Coturnix japonica: one gene and its partners. The protein of the gene in region 3 purifies or fractionates together with the protein of the main gene of each other region. This does not show direct contact. Links are inferred from orthologs where the notes say so. Each region holds a gene or a part of one and is shown on either strand. Other genes may lie near its edges.

Evidence for each region.
Region 1: the proteins of AP2M1 (region 3) and RALBP1 purify together in Homo sapiens (affinity purification with mass spectrometry; 3 studies listed by BioGRID and IntAct, counting the BioPlex papers as one, with this or other methods). This does not show direct contact. The link is inferred for Coturnix japonica from reciprocal best matches to the Homo sapiens genes AP2M1 and RALBP1.
Region 2: the proteins of AP2M1 (region 3) and NECAP1 purify together in Homo sapiens (affinity purification with mass spectrometry; 3 studies listed by BioGRID and IntAct, counting the BioPlex papers as one, with this or other methods). This does not show direct contact. The link is inferred for Coturnix japonica from reciprocal best matches to the Homo sapiens genes AP2M1 and NECAP1.
Region 4: the proteins of AP2M1 (region 3) and ANKRD28 purify together in Homo sapiens (affinity purification with mass spectrometry; 3 studies listed by BioGRID and IntAct, counting the BioPlex papers as one, with this or other methods). This does not show direct contact. The link is inferred for Coturnix japonica from reciprocal best matches to the Homo sapiens genes AP2M1 and ANKRD28.

What each region holds. Positions count from the first base shown.
Region 1 is NC_029517.1:88,800,210-88,803,709, forward strand, and holds part of RALBP1 (ralA-binding protein 1), read right to left. Parts: intron 1,776-3,500; 5' UTR 1,726-1,775; coding exon 1,482-1,725; intron 1-1,481. UniProt on the Homo sapiens protein: Multifunctional protein that functions as a downstream effector of RALA and RALB. As a GTPase-activating protein/GAP can inactivate CDC42 and RAC1 by stimulating their GTPase activity.
Region 2 is NC_029516.1:68,443,439-68,446,074, reverse strand, and holds part of NECAP1 (adaptin ear-binding coat-associated protein 1), read left to right. Parts: intron 1-207; coding exon 208-289; intron 290-964; coding exon 965-1,073; intron 1,074-1,157; coding exon 1,158-1,344; intron 1,345-2,384; coding exon 2,385-2,478; intron 2,479-2,602; coding exon 2,603-2,636. UniProt on the Homo sapiens protein: Involved in endocytosis.
Region 3 is NC_029524.1:13,826,350-13,830,486, forward strand, and holds the start of AP2M1 (AP-2 complex subunit mu), read left to right. Parts: upstream 1-1,337; 5' UTR 1,338-1,465; intron 1,466-4,137.
Region 4 is NC_029517.1:31,175,530-31,179,029, forward strand, and holds part of ANKRD28 (serine/threonine-protein phosphatase 6 regulatory ankyrin repeat subunit A), read right to left. Parts: intron 2,794-3,500; coding exon 2,730-2,793; intron 1,520-2,729; coding exon 1,451-1,519; intron 190-1,450; coding exon 49-189; intron 1-48. UniProt on the Homo sapiens protein: Regulatory subunit of protein phosphatase 6 (PP6) that may be involved in the recognition of phosphoprotein substrates. Involved in the PP6-mediated dephosphorylation of NFKBIE opposing its degradation in response to TNF-alpha.

The DNA of each region.
Region 1 (3,500 bases), on a different chromosome or scaffold from region 3:
GATCTGCATGTACTTGCTGGAGTAGCATTTTCCCTCTTCAGCCTTCAGTCTGACTACTGCCATGAGACACACAGACTACACCACAAAGAAAGCCACACTGTATATAACGCTGATCTCTCACAGTTCTTAATTCAGAGGCATAAGTTCAGAGGGCAGAACTGCAGCACTGCACTGCAAAGGCTGATATGCGAAGAGGAAAAAAGCCCAAAAGACAATGGCTTTATTTTAGACCCAACTAATACAGAATTTACCATAGAATCATGGAATGGCCTGGGTTGAAAAGGACCTTAAAAATCATGTAGTTTCAACCCCCCTACCATGGGCAGGGTCACCAACCAGGCTGCCCAGAGTAATTCAGTATTAGTATTAGGCTAATAGTATTTACAAGAGAAAAAACAAGGTACCAGCTTTCTTAAAACACGTAGAAACTTTGGTTGTTAGTTTTAACTGAAGGACAACATGGTTTTGAGTTTCTGTACCTTTTAGAAGGCACAGGCCTTCTAAACTGCGGTAGAAGCAACAATTCCTTCAATCCAGGAAATTGGCTTGATTAAAAGTCATGCAGCAGCTGCAAATTCTTAACAAGAAATTATTTGAATGTGTGCATGCTTATTACAAATGGTCACCATATTCTTTCAAAATGCCATAGCAATAATAGTACTAATTGTGGGCTGTCTCATCGGCTCTGGTATTCCAAGCTCCACTTCTAGCAATTAGTGAGGAACAAGGGCATCCACAACATCCAGCATTTGGGCCATGTAAAAAAGGTGATGTAAAACATGGAAAAGTATCGCGAAGCTTTGTCAAAAAACCAAACAACTCAATTGGGTGGGCTGTGATACTCAGGTTTTAGAGGGTTGGAATTGGATTGGAGAAAACTGCAGGATTAGAATAAACTAAGCAGCTAATGAAAAAAGGATGCAGCTTATTAGTCCTCAATGAGTGGTAGAGTGTGCATACGAAAGCTTGAAATGGTAAGTACTATCAAACATTGAATACACAGGGCACGGAAAAGAAAAGTTAAATGTTGTTTAAACCAACTCTTTCATATTTCAGAATGTACAATTCAGGTCAAACTTCGAGCTTCACTTTAGCTAGTGTTTCAGCTAAGATTTCAAATAGCGTCTATTTGGAAATACACATGGAAATCTCCACTCAGGATCTGAACTGATAATGATATAAGACTATCATGCCAAGTGATTACCAACACTCTGCTAAAGGCTTTACATTAATATGTTTATCAGCAATTCTGGGCATGAGCTCGGTGCCTGTGCAACAAAACAAAAAGGTCTTTTCCATGAAGATAAACAGGTATTGCACAAAGTGTGTTTGTGTAAGTTCACTTCCTTCACACCTAAACAGGTTTAAAGAGAAAGAAAACACAACAAAAACAGAAAAACCAACACTGGGAATACCAGGCAATTTTGAGAAAGCAAAACAGAAAAAGGATTTGAACATGAAATAAGAAGTTGCCCACTCACTTCTTTTTTCTTTCTTTTTAAATTTTCCTTTCTTCTTCCCATGCTCCTTTTCATCATCTGATATTATATCTGGAGGCTCATGCAAGCTGTCATGAGGCGGCGAAGGCTCACCAGTACGGTACAACCCAGGGAATTTTGTAGGGCTGATCTCTTCAGAGCTGGGAGTACGAGCGAGACCCCCACTGTGCTCTACCCGACGGTGTTCACTGGGGCTGCTGGTGGGAGGCAGGAAGCACTCGGTCATTCTGATTCCCTGCTATCAAAGTGAAATCTTCTGCTACCTGTCCATCACACCTGGAGCAGGGGGGAAAAAATGATAAAAAAGAATGTGAAGTCATTTTCAAAGCATTTTGTTTAGAGCTCTACCTTGAAAATGAAACAAACATCGATGCCTTTTACAAGGAATGCTCCACCTGATGTCATGAGGTGATAATAAAACAGAGCAGGCCCTAAGCTTAGTGCTTGTAGAATCTGGGCATGCAGTTAGCTGCCGAGCCATGCTAACACAATAGGAGAGCTGTTATTTCAGCCAGCTTTGCTTTACACCACACCAAACACTACACATTAAGTATCAGAATATATGTTTTACGTTCAAAGCAATTCTTACAAAATTCAGAGGCAGTTTACATGTTATTCATACTGCTGCTCACTGTGAACCAGCTAACTTTACATCACTGAAATAAAATAGGATTGTTTGGAAGCTCAGAGTGTCTGTGAGGACTGCATTTGCACCAAGACCACTTTCATCTTTCTCAAGCATATTTTATAGATGCAAATAAGAACCTGCCTAACCTGCTGCAGTAAGAAAGGGAGGAAAAAAATAGAGTTCTGAAGTCAAATCTATCTTCTAATTATGTTAATGTAAAGTAAAGAAGATAGAACAAGTATAATTGTTTTTTTCCTGGTGTGCAGCAATCACGAGTTCACTTTTGAAGAGGCTACACCAGATCCTCTGCACCCAGATCCTTCCGTGCTGTTTCATAGGGAGCCCTGGTAAAATTAAAACTAAGATGAAAATTACTGACAGAAGCCAATATGTAAATTCCCAGTAATGGAACTCATAAGTAAAGAGCAACTCCTAATGTAGGTGAATTTCAGGAATTCCATGGGACAAGCTATGCCATATGGAATGTCAGCTTTCTGAATTTGGTCTTTTGTATGTGAACACCCATAGAACTCTATTTGGAGCAAGGAGCTGCAGTCCCATGATCATTGTGGGTGCCAGAGTGTCTTACAGTTCTGTGAAAAAGAGAGTAAATCCCAAGGACAGAAAACAGCCATTTCCTATACCACAGAATCACAGAATCACAGAATTGTAGGGGTTGGAAGGGACCTCTAGAGATCATCGAGTCCAACCCCCCTGCCAAAGCAGGCTCCCTACACCACGTCACACAGGTAGGTGTCCAGGCGGGTCTTGAATATCTCCAGAGAAGGAGACTCCACCACCTCCCTGGGCAGCCTGTTCCAGTGCTCTGTCACCCTCACTGTAAAGAAATACCTGCTAATACTTGGATGACAGGATCACATCATAGTTCCATGCTAATTTGAACTTTAATCCAACTTAAGTCTGCTGCCTTGCTGCAGCTTAAAAGCCTGCCAAATCTACTGTAAGACAAATAGAAGGGAAAGCAACCATTTTTAAAGCTGCCAGCTCCATAACCTCCTTGTCTGTGCAGCCATACAAAGTATCACGGCAACCACAAAGAAGACAAATTCAGAAGGAGCTGCTCTGCAGACAAAGGGATCAAGGTGACTGTGTAGCCATTGCCTCAAAAAACAGAATTAAAACATGTTAAGATTGCACAGAAACGCCACATCAGACCTATCTCCATGAGAACCGGATCACTGTAACAATGTATACAGACACAAAGGGCTCAGGCTTCTACAGTAGCCATTAGACTCCGCAGTCATCCCTCCTATTCCTGCAGACATGCTGAGCAAACAACAGTGAACACTTAGCTAAGAAAGACAAACAATCACACACACACAGAATCACAGAATGACCCGGGTTGGAAGGGA
Region 2 (2,636 bases), on a different chromosome or scaffold from region 3:
GTCCGGGGGCTGGGGAGGAGCATTTGGTTTCTGAGGGTACCACATGGCAGGAGTGCATCCTGTAGGCTAGGAACAGTGACATTCTGTGAGATGCTGATTTCAGCAGTAGATCAATTGGAAGGAGGTAGCACAGAGCGGTTGTTGGAGTGAATGAACACGGGCCCATTCACAGTGCATTTCCAATGACTCCTTCTGTCTCCTTGCTAGGACGAAGTGCTTTTATAGGCATCGGTTTCACAGATCGTGGTGATGCCTTTGACTTCAATGTGTCTTTGCAGGATCACTTCAAGTGAGTTGTGCTTTTCTGGAATGCTATTTTTTCCTCTGGCCCCTGGAATGTGTTGGGTGGTGGTGCTCATTCACTTAGCAGAGGTTTCCTTGGGAAGGACATGAAGCCCTGCTCTGGCACCATTAGGAATGCTTGAATGTATTGCCAACTGTCATGTGAGCTGGGAGTCCTTCAGGGTCTAATCTGGAAGCAATAGGTTTGTTTGGGTTTGAAGAGACTTTTAAGACCATCTAGCTCCAGTCTCCCTGCTGTAGGCAGGAACGCTTCCCACTAGACCAGGTTGCTCAAAGCCCTATCCAAGCTGGCCTTGAACAGCTCCAGGGAGGGAGCATCCTGGGCACCTCCTGTTCCAGTATCTCACTGTACTCACAGTGAGGAATGTCTTCCTGATATCTAATCTGAAGCTACTCTTTTCCTCATCCCGTTGCTGTATGCTCTTCTTTCCTACATACCCTCCTCAGCTTTCCTTCTGGCCCCTGAGTCTTATTCTTAAATCCTATGACACTACAGACAGTCTCTTGGGTTTGTCGTTTTTTGAGCTTTTTGCTGTACTACGCTGGGAGTGGAGGGGTATCTGGTTTGAAAAGGCAAGATAGTTACTTGTCAGGTTGTGGAAAAGAATCACTCTGCTCCTATTTGCCACAGTCTCTTATCTTTCTTCTGTCTTCTTTTTAGGTGGGTGAAGCAGGAAACTGAGATCTCCAAGGAGACCCTGGATGCTGACACACGTCCTAAATTGGATTTAGGGTTTAAGGAAGGGCAGACCATCAAACTGAGCATTGGGGTAAGGAGCCCAGTCAACCCTGTCTCTTTTTCTGGATATTCCAGTAGATAACCTTCCTCACTTGTCCTCTCATTTTTTATATAGAACATGACAACAAAGAAAGGAGGAGCAGCCAAGCCTCGTGTGTCTGGATCAGGGGGCTTAAGTCTGCTGCCACCCCCACCAGGAGGCAAAACTGCAGCCCCTTCGGTCCCTCCTGCTTCTTCCACATCAATTGCCAACCATGTCACACCACCACCCGTACCGAAATCCAGTAACGTGAGCAGTGCAGGTAAATGTTAACATAGAGCAAACAACCTATCAAATGTTAGCAGGCACAAAGAGAGAGAGCAGAGGCCTGTGTCAGGGAAGGGATGTTCAAGTTCATTGTAATATCAACAGAGCAGTTAAAAAAAAACACCGATGAAACTTGATGCACCCTGAGGTCTTTTCCCTCTTTGACCTGAGGATCTCTGTGTTTGTTTAATAATGTTAGCCCCTCGAATAGCATTGTAGCTGTTCTCCTTGCAAAAGGAGAAAACAAATGAAGTGGCCGAAATGACCTGGACAGGTAGATATGGAATTTAAGTACTTGGATTCTTCTGAACTTGTATGTGCTTTAGGGGCACTGGCAGAGCTGTATGGAATGTTCAGAAAAGGAGTGCTCAGTTGCTTGCTTTTTGTAGGGAAATACAAATAGCCCATGGTTGTTGAAAGGTGCAGGAAAAGCACTTCCAGAAAGGCTTTAAACAGGGAAGGAGGTAGCTTTTAGTATGAAGACCAGAAGGTACAAAATATAGTGAGACTGGGCTGTAACAAAGAGGTTGCTGTGTCTTCTGGATGCCGAATTAAATGCATGACCACAACGTAGCACTATTTCTGAATTCATAGATCTATACAGACCTGAGTGAGAAGAAAGCACAAGCTTCTGAATAGGGCTGGGCTGCAGTGTGTCATTTGTACTGATAGCAACTGTTATGATTGCTGTGCTTGTACTGAGTCTAAACCTTAGGTCCCCTCGGAGGAGATAATATGTTATAAACCTGCCAGTTGATAAGCTAGATGGAGGCCTAGTGGTTCCTGAAGACAAAATAACCCTATAGCAGGAGCTGGAGCCTCAGTGAACCTTTGACAAAAAGGGCTGCTGTTAACACAGACTAGGCCCTTAAAAATTCTCTCTTCTTCTGAAGAGCTGGAGTCCATTCAAAGGTTCTGTGCTACTGCATCCAGTAGTTTGTATAACGTGACAGTTTAAATGCCTGCAGGTTGTTTTTGTTTCTTTTTTCCTACTAACTTGACAGATTTCAGATTTTTCCTTTTCTTCTCTCTCAGGTATTCTATTAGACTTAGATGCTCCCGCATATGCATCCAAGACACCAACGTCAACTGCCACAGACGTCTGGGGAGACTTCAACACTGCATCCAGGTAAACTGTGATGGAGGGGACTGTGCACAGGAAGGGTGACATTCTAATGTGTGCTGAAGGAGCAGTGAGTTAACAGGCTTTCTTAGGGGTACACGTTTGATTTTTCTTTCTTTCTTTCTTTCAGTGGTGTTCCTAATCAGGCTCCTCAGCAGTCCAAC
Region 3 (4,137 bases):
GATGGCTGCTTTTCTCCCCCTAGCGGAAGACGCCCTGAGAGGGGAGCCGGGCCCAGCCTTACATGAATTTTAAATCCCTTTGTAGTTGCCTTTCAGCCAATGTCTGAATGTTCCAGGGCTTCACTGCCTGTGGGGAATGGGGAGATGGTGCCCTTTGCCTCCCCTTCTTGCCCCGGCCTTAGGGAAGAGCACTCCTTCCCCCTGCCCTGTCCTTGGCACTGGGGCCATGCCCCCTGCCTTACTTCCTATGGGACTTGTAGAATTCAGGGCTATGGGGTGAGTGCTCACTTGGCCCAAAGAAGCCTAGAGAGGGCCTCTGCCCTGCTCTTTGCCCCCGTCACTTGCAAGGGCAGTCCTTGGGGCAGCTGTGGCTCTGCCATTGCAACACCACACAGCAGTGGGACCTTTTTGAGAGCTGAGAATGCAGCCAGTGAGTGAGGGAAGGCACACTATGGGGGAACACAGTGTTTGTGTGCAGAGAGGGGCAGCACTGACCTTACCCTGCTCCATTCCCTGTGTGCGATGCTTGGGAGGGACGTGAGCTTTGTGGGCAGTGCTTGCAGCTCCTCTGGGCTCACACAGAGCTGTGGGTCACTTGCTCCAGCCCTCCTCATCCTTTTTCCTCCTCTCACGGCCGCTCAGAGCTGCTCCTCTCCACTCCTGCTGGGCCGTGGGGAGGAGATGTGGGTCCATGCTCCCTTAGCGCCCTCCTGTTGTCTCCTTCACTCTTTCTGTTTGTGGTTCTCTTACACTCTGGAGATAAAATGTGTTTCACTCCTGAGCTCTGTATTATACCCTCCAGCCTGCCCCATGTGCCCTCCCCGCTTGCTCACACCTCTTTCCATGCACATGGGGCTCAGTGTGGTGGCACTGCCCAACTGCCCCCTGTAACCCCTGGTCCCTCTCACTGCCTCTCCTCACCCTGCCCTACTCACTGGATTTTACAAAAACAGAACCATTCTCCTTGTTTTTATTTATAAACATAGTTTTATTGGACTCCTGCCTCGCGTTTTGTTTTGGACCATTCTGCTTCCCACTCCCTGCCACATCCCGCTGTGTAGGGGTGCTGGCTGTTCTCCATTGGGATATACAATGTGTGTGCCCATGCATGGTGTCAGCCTCATATATGCCCATAAATGCCCATACTGTGCAGTGGGGACCAGCGGGGCCGTGCAGGGTGAGGGCGGCCTCCCCTTACAGCCCCATATTGAGGCCTAGCTGCTCTGTGCCGTCCCCCACGAACTACAACTCCCAGCGCGTCCGCGCCTCAGGACTACATCTCCCAGCATGCACCGCGCGGATCAGTCCTTCCCGCCTCCACGCTTGACGCATGCGCAGTGCCAGCGGGGCGCGGGCAGCGCATGCGCGGCGGCGGCTCTGCAGTGCTAGGGGGGGCGCTGAGGGACGGGGGGGCGGCAGCCGCCATCTTGGGCGCTGGGCGGCGAGCGGCGGCGGGCGGCGGCAGGTGAGGCGGCGTGCTGCCATGGGGCCGAGCGGCCTGGTTTGGCTCCCTGTGGGGCTGTGGGGCTCTATCTGTGTTGGGCTGGGTGACCGGCCGGGGTTCGGCGGGCAGCGGCCGTTCCCTCAACGCTCGGGGCCGGGGGTCCGCGGGCCTCCTCGGTGCGGCTGTGACAGCGCCGGGCCGCCTCCCCTCAGCGCTCGGGGCTCGGCCGCAGTTCACGGGGCGGCGGGGCTGCGCGGCAGGACTGTGCTCGGCCCCGGGGGATGGATGGGATGGATGGGATGGATGGGATGGATGGATGGATGGATGGATGGGATGCGACCGGCTCTAAACCCGCCGGGCTCGGGCGTTTCTTGGAGCGGTGGGGTCGGAGCGGCGGCCCTGGGGGGTCGGGTGGGCTCGGTGCGGCACACGGAGCCTGGGGAACGGCCCCGGCTACGTGCCGGGTCAGCCCGAACAAAGGTCCTTTAATCGGATCAGCGGGAACTTCCCCGGGAATCATTCAGCCGATGGGACGGGGCTTCGCTCGGCCGTGGCTTGTCACCTCCAGCTTCCTCTATGGAAAAGCTGCTGGGCGCAGAGCGCCTCTGGTGATGCTGTGCTGAAGCGTAAAGAGGGCCTCTATCCAGCAGCGCCTATGGATGCGGTTCCTCTTCCTTCCTTCCTCGGGCTGGGCTTTGGATCCTGCAGAGCTGCAGGAAAAGCTGCCTTGTTTGTCGCCCTGTGCAGCTGATCGCTGGCCCCACCGGGAAATGACTCCCCGTCAGCTGTGTGATCTCTGTTTTCTCCTCACTTCAGGATGACAAAGCTGCCCTGAGTTTTTAGCCTAAGGCTTTCGGAATCTGAGCCTGGAACGTTCCCAGATAAGCACATCTGAGTGGCTTCAGTAGCTCAGAGCTCTGGTTGTGTTGGATTTGTATCCACATTTAGGCTTATGCGGGTACATAAGTTGTTGGGCACCATTAATGTGAATGCAGCGCTGCAGTTACTGCTTTTTTTTGCCTTATAGTAAAAATTAGACTTGTCCCAGTGAGTTGCTTGCAGGGACAACCTCCAGCCTGATGAGATGCATCCCAGCTGCCTGCTGCCATATTTTCCTTGTCAGAGCGGGGGCATCGTTCATCTTCTGCGGGCAGAGCCATGTTACTGACATCTAGTGACAGAGATACCCGGCGTCCTTTGGGCTGTATTTTCTTCCATATGATGTGATGTCTCCATAGGATATTATGGCCGGCTTCTCCCCTTCTCTCGAGACAGCACATTCCTGGTCTTTGAAGAGCTGAGTCTTGAGGGTACAAAGGGTCATATCTGCAGCTTTTTGAAGCAGAGATAGAGGATTCTTTCTGGGCTATCTCAGGGTTTGTGTGTGTCTTTTTGTTTGCTTCACGTGACCCTGGTTAAACTTTTCTTGGCCTCTTGGTGCAGAGGTGAGATGAAGCTAATCTAGTGCAGCACAGTGTCTTGCATCAGTTTCCTGAGCTTGTACAGCTGAAGGCTGTGAATATGCTCTAAGCTGGAGGGCTGTGTGGTGCTTTAATAACGAGGCCTGTCGTGTTTCCCTGTGTCAGGGTTTCTCTCATCCTCTATAAGCTGATGGCGTGCAGCACGGCACGCAGAGGCTGTAGGAGGGGAGCCTGCTTAGTGTTCAACGTGCTTCTCTTCCTGCCCACTGCTTGTGGGGATTTGTGGGATTGGGTTTAAAATTGGAACGCTTCCTCTGACACCGATGGGCTTATCTCGGGAGCTCTTTAGCTCACATTATGTGTCTTAATTAAATTACACGGCCTGTGTTCCCCAGGATTGCGGCTACTCTTCTTTAAAACCAGGTGTGGCCCGTGGCCTCCTGGACAGTGGCTAATGCAGCGCTATAAGCAAAGCTTAGGTGCTCAGATTAGCTGCTGCGTGATGACATTCGAGGTAAGCCTTAAGCCTGTCGGTTTGATAACAGCTAGTGCTAGCTTGAAAAGACTAGTTTCTTAAATAGCTTGTTTGCCAGAGCAGCCTGACTAATCCGCCTCCTGCTTCTACTGCTGTCATTTGTCCAAGATCACAGTGACTGCTGGAATGCACAAACCGTTACAGTTGGTTTGCCCTTGGTCCTGGGAGAGCTGCAGCACCTCTCCTGGCTTCTTCCTGGATGAGAGCTCCAGCAGCTAATGTACCTCAAACTGCTTAGCTGGATAAGCTCGCTAATGCACAGAAGTCTTACTTACTGTTAAGTCTGAACCCAAACTTTCTTTTAATAGACTGCTAAATGGGTTGGTGCTCTGTGCCAGCTTATCGACTGACTTGTGGCTGCTGCTTCCAAGATGGACTCTGTACGTAATAAACGCTCTTCTTTTCATTCAAGGTGATATCAGGGCTGCAAGGAAATTCCAGGAAGGTGTTTTTCTTCTGGTGTGGATGCTGCACTTAGTGCATTGTGTCTGTGCTCCCAGGTCAGCCACATGCTGCACCTCAGAATTGAAGCTGCTGACAGCCTGGCATCAGGACACTGCTTTGCTGAGCTGCGTTCCAAGTGCGTGGCACAATGTAGGTGTGAAAGGGCAAAGTCTGGCTTTTAAAGGAACACCCGGCATTAGAGCTGTCATGCATTCAAACACACATCCCAGCAGTTTGTTTTTGTACACGATCCTTTTTGTAGCAGACTTTTAAGATGGTGACTTTGCTACCAA
Region 4 (3,500 bases), on a different chromosome or scaffold from region 3:
AGATGTTTCTAAAGATAATTTCTGTAGGACAAAGCATGCCACACTTACTTTCCATCTGTGTCTGATGCGGCTGCATAGTGCAGAGGTGTACAACCCCTCTCATCAAGGTCGTTCACACTAGCTCCAGATCCCACAAGGGCAAACAGGCACTGATAATTACAATTGGCAGCAGCATAATGGAGTGGAGTTCTTTAGTACACATTTGAATAAAAAGTACAAAGGTAAATACCAGCAAAATAATACTAGAGAGACAGAAAATGCAAATGAAAATAAAACTTATATCCTCCTTTCCCTTTTTAGCAAATCTCTGCAGCGAAGTTACACATAAATACAATATTAAGAATTATCTTTGAGGGGCCATTTAATAACACAGACTATCTAGGAATATCTGTCAGCCACCACACACTGTGGTATGAGAAGTTCTATATGAAATTTCTTGTTTAAACGTACAGAGAAAAACAGTTTACATTAGACATTATTAGTGGTTAAGTAGGTACTTCCAACTATGTGAAAAATATGGACAAATTCAAGAACTGCGCAGCAACTAAACAAGGTCAAAATACAACAGTTAGCAAGTCAATATTTTCTGCATATTTAGATAATAGAGGCAGGCAGGATTTTTTACTACAATAACGTTTCAGAGGTAATGTTAAAGAAAGATCTTGAAAATATACACCGCTTCCCTCTAACAAAAGCACGACGTACTGAAATACTGATATCGAAGAATCATATCAAAGGAAACTTATTCTATCTTCAGTTCTCGAAATAGCAGTTTAGCACCACAATGATAAAGAATTTCTGTTTCTGTTCATAAAAACTGATTGCTACTACAAATTTCTCCATTTTAAGGGTGGAAGGCACTTCCAAATGGATGTGAATGGCAGGAGTAGTGCATGAGTAATGCAATGATTTCAAGATGTCATGCAGGATTCTGCACAAGTAGTGATCTTGCAATATGACCTTAAATAATTCTACACTAAAAACAGAAATTAATGTCATTCCAAACAAGTACTGAGCACAAATGAGGAAAGGAACAGTAACAGATGGATATAATGTGAGGAAGATGAGGAAGTTGTAATAAAACTTTGGACTTTTAACTAAAGAAAAACCCTTCACAAACAGTAACAAACTTACAGTCTGATATATTATTTGGAAAACATTGCTAATGTCCTTGAATGAGTGAAACAAACTCATTACGTTCATGTTCTAAGCAGCGAAGGCTCGTAACACTACAGCTGAGTATGTAATATGCACTTTAAAAACAAGACTGAGCACCTACCTAAATATATATATATGTCTGCAATTTTCTATAACATATGCTGAAGCAGACTTTAAGGGAAATTACTGTTTAAAACATATAAACTGAAATGAACAGGTTTGACCACATATCAATATGCATTTTATAACACTTTAAAAACCCTTCAAAACATAAAATTCTAAACTCTCTTACCTCCCGAATCTGTCCTTTTTGTTGAAGTCTGCACCAGTATTCAGCAGAAGATTTAGGCACTCCAAATTCCTATTAAAATAATGCAATACTGCTTGTGATTGCAGATTACAGTTTCTTAATATTGACCGTTACAACTACCAGAACTGCTATGAAAACATCTGAAGATGGTATTCTTATTAAAACTAAACTATACAAAAACTTTTGAAAAGTTTAATTTCTGTGAATCTGAATACGTATTTCACAGTTGCAGAACCAAACCAAGAAGGACATGGCCGTTAACAATCCTAATAGGAGACTCAATTCTTTAAAATAAAATAAAATAAAAATTATACCTGTACAGCACATGATTTTTGCTACCAGGATTCCAACACAGAAACAAGTTTTTAAGGTATATATCTGAAGCTCAAGTGTAAGTTATAATGTAACGCAAATGTTTTACTTAAGCAATTCATTTTCAGTACAATCTGATCACACCAACAGATGTGCAACACTGCACCTTTAAACAAAATCTTAATAACTTTTCTAAATTGTAGATGAATGAGGGAATGAGTCACAAATCATGTGTTTTAATATGAAAAGACAGCATTTTAATCTTAATCATTTGTAACAAGAATGTACCTATAGAGTAACTTTTCACTAAGAATGATTATTTAGCAGTATTACTTAATTAACATTGAAATAGAAAATGAAAATATCATTATAATGGAGTTTTTGTGTCCCACAAAGTGTATCATGAGATTTATTACCCAGTTCTTCCAGGCAATTTTGAGTAGCTGCTATAGATAACCTACAATGCAATAACAATAATCAATATAGATCACAACTCAAGTGATGAACAAGTAGTTCTGACCACTTCATCCACCTAAACTCTGGAATTTAATTATGACTTTTAATTTTGCTTGATTGATCTCTTGTTTCTGGATACAGTAAAAATGTATTTCCCAAAGTTGCTGTTCACCTCATGTCCTGTGGTGACCTAGAAGGGCACGACATCTTTGCAGCTGTATCATCACCCACGGGAAATTAAAATAAAATCCAGTTCATCCCCAAGCATAAACCTAATATAAAGCTGATGATACCTGGACACTGAACTCCAGTAATTACTTACAGAGCTGAATAATTAATTTTTATTGCTTGTAGATGGAATCCATCTTGAAATTAGTTTTGCATTTACATAATTCCATAGGAGAAATGCAAAGAAGAAAGAATAATAAAAAAGGAATGGTCAGCAATTAAAAAATGAGCACTAAAAATAAAGGCATGAATGCTTTTTACATACCCTCCAGCTGCAGCTGCGTGAAGACAAGTTCTGCCAAAGTCATCTGGTGTGTCTATGTCAAAACCTATAAATCAAGTATTTGTAAAGCAGTTATGCAACACAGGCTTTCACAAAACTGTTCTCATCTACCCTTAAGAGAAATGCTTGCAAAGCAAACTTAGCAGCTACTTCAGAAGAAGCTCTGAGGCACTGAAAACAAGATTCATTTGAAACTAGTTCTTGTTATTTGCAGTGTTTTGAAAAGCACATTCAAATAAAACTGAAAAGGAAAAAGTACAACAATTTGCAGCATTGAGGCAAGAAGCTATGTTGTTCCTTATCTATTTAACTGCTAATACTTCTGTATCATTTACTACTGGACATAATATCCATGACGATAATAGGAAAACTTAAGAATAAGCTAGAATTTCTACATGTTCCCTAGATAATTTTTATTTTTTTCATAAAGAGGGAGCTATCAACACTATCAAATCCAGAAGCAACTTAACATTTCATCCTTCATTTTAGCTCTCTAGTCTCAGGCAAAGACCTTCACTAAGCTGGAGATCCATACTTAGAGTTACCATTTAAGCCTTAACTTTGCCCTGACGTTTCTATGAGAAAGACTGTCCTTTGTGCATTATTAATTAAGTAACTAAAAACTGATTGGTCAAACTTATCTTTGTTTTTAAGATGGGTATCTGAAGAGAAAGCTGTAGCAGAAGTCAAGTCTACACAGTCAAATAAAACAAATGGTACACCTCAAACGTCTCAGCTAAATGGCACGTCCAG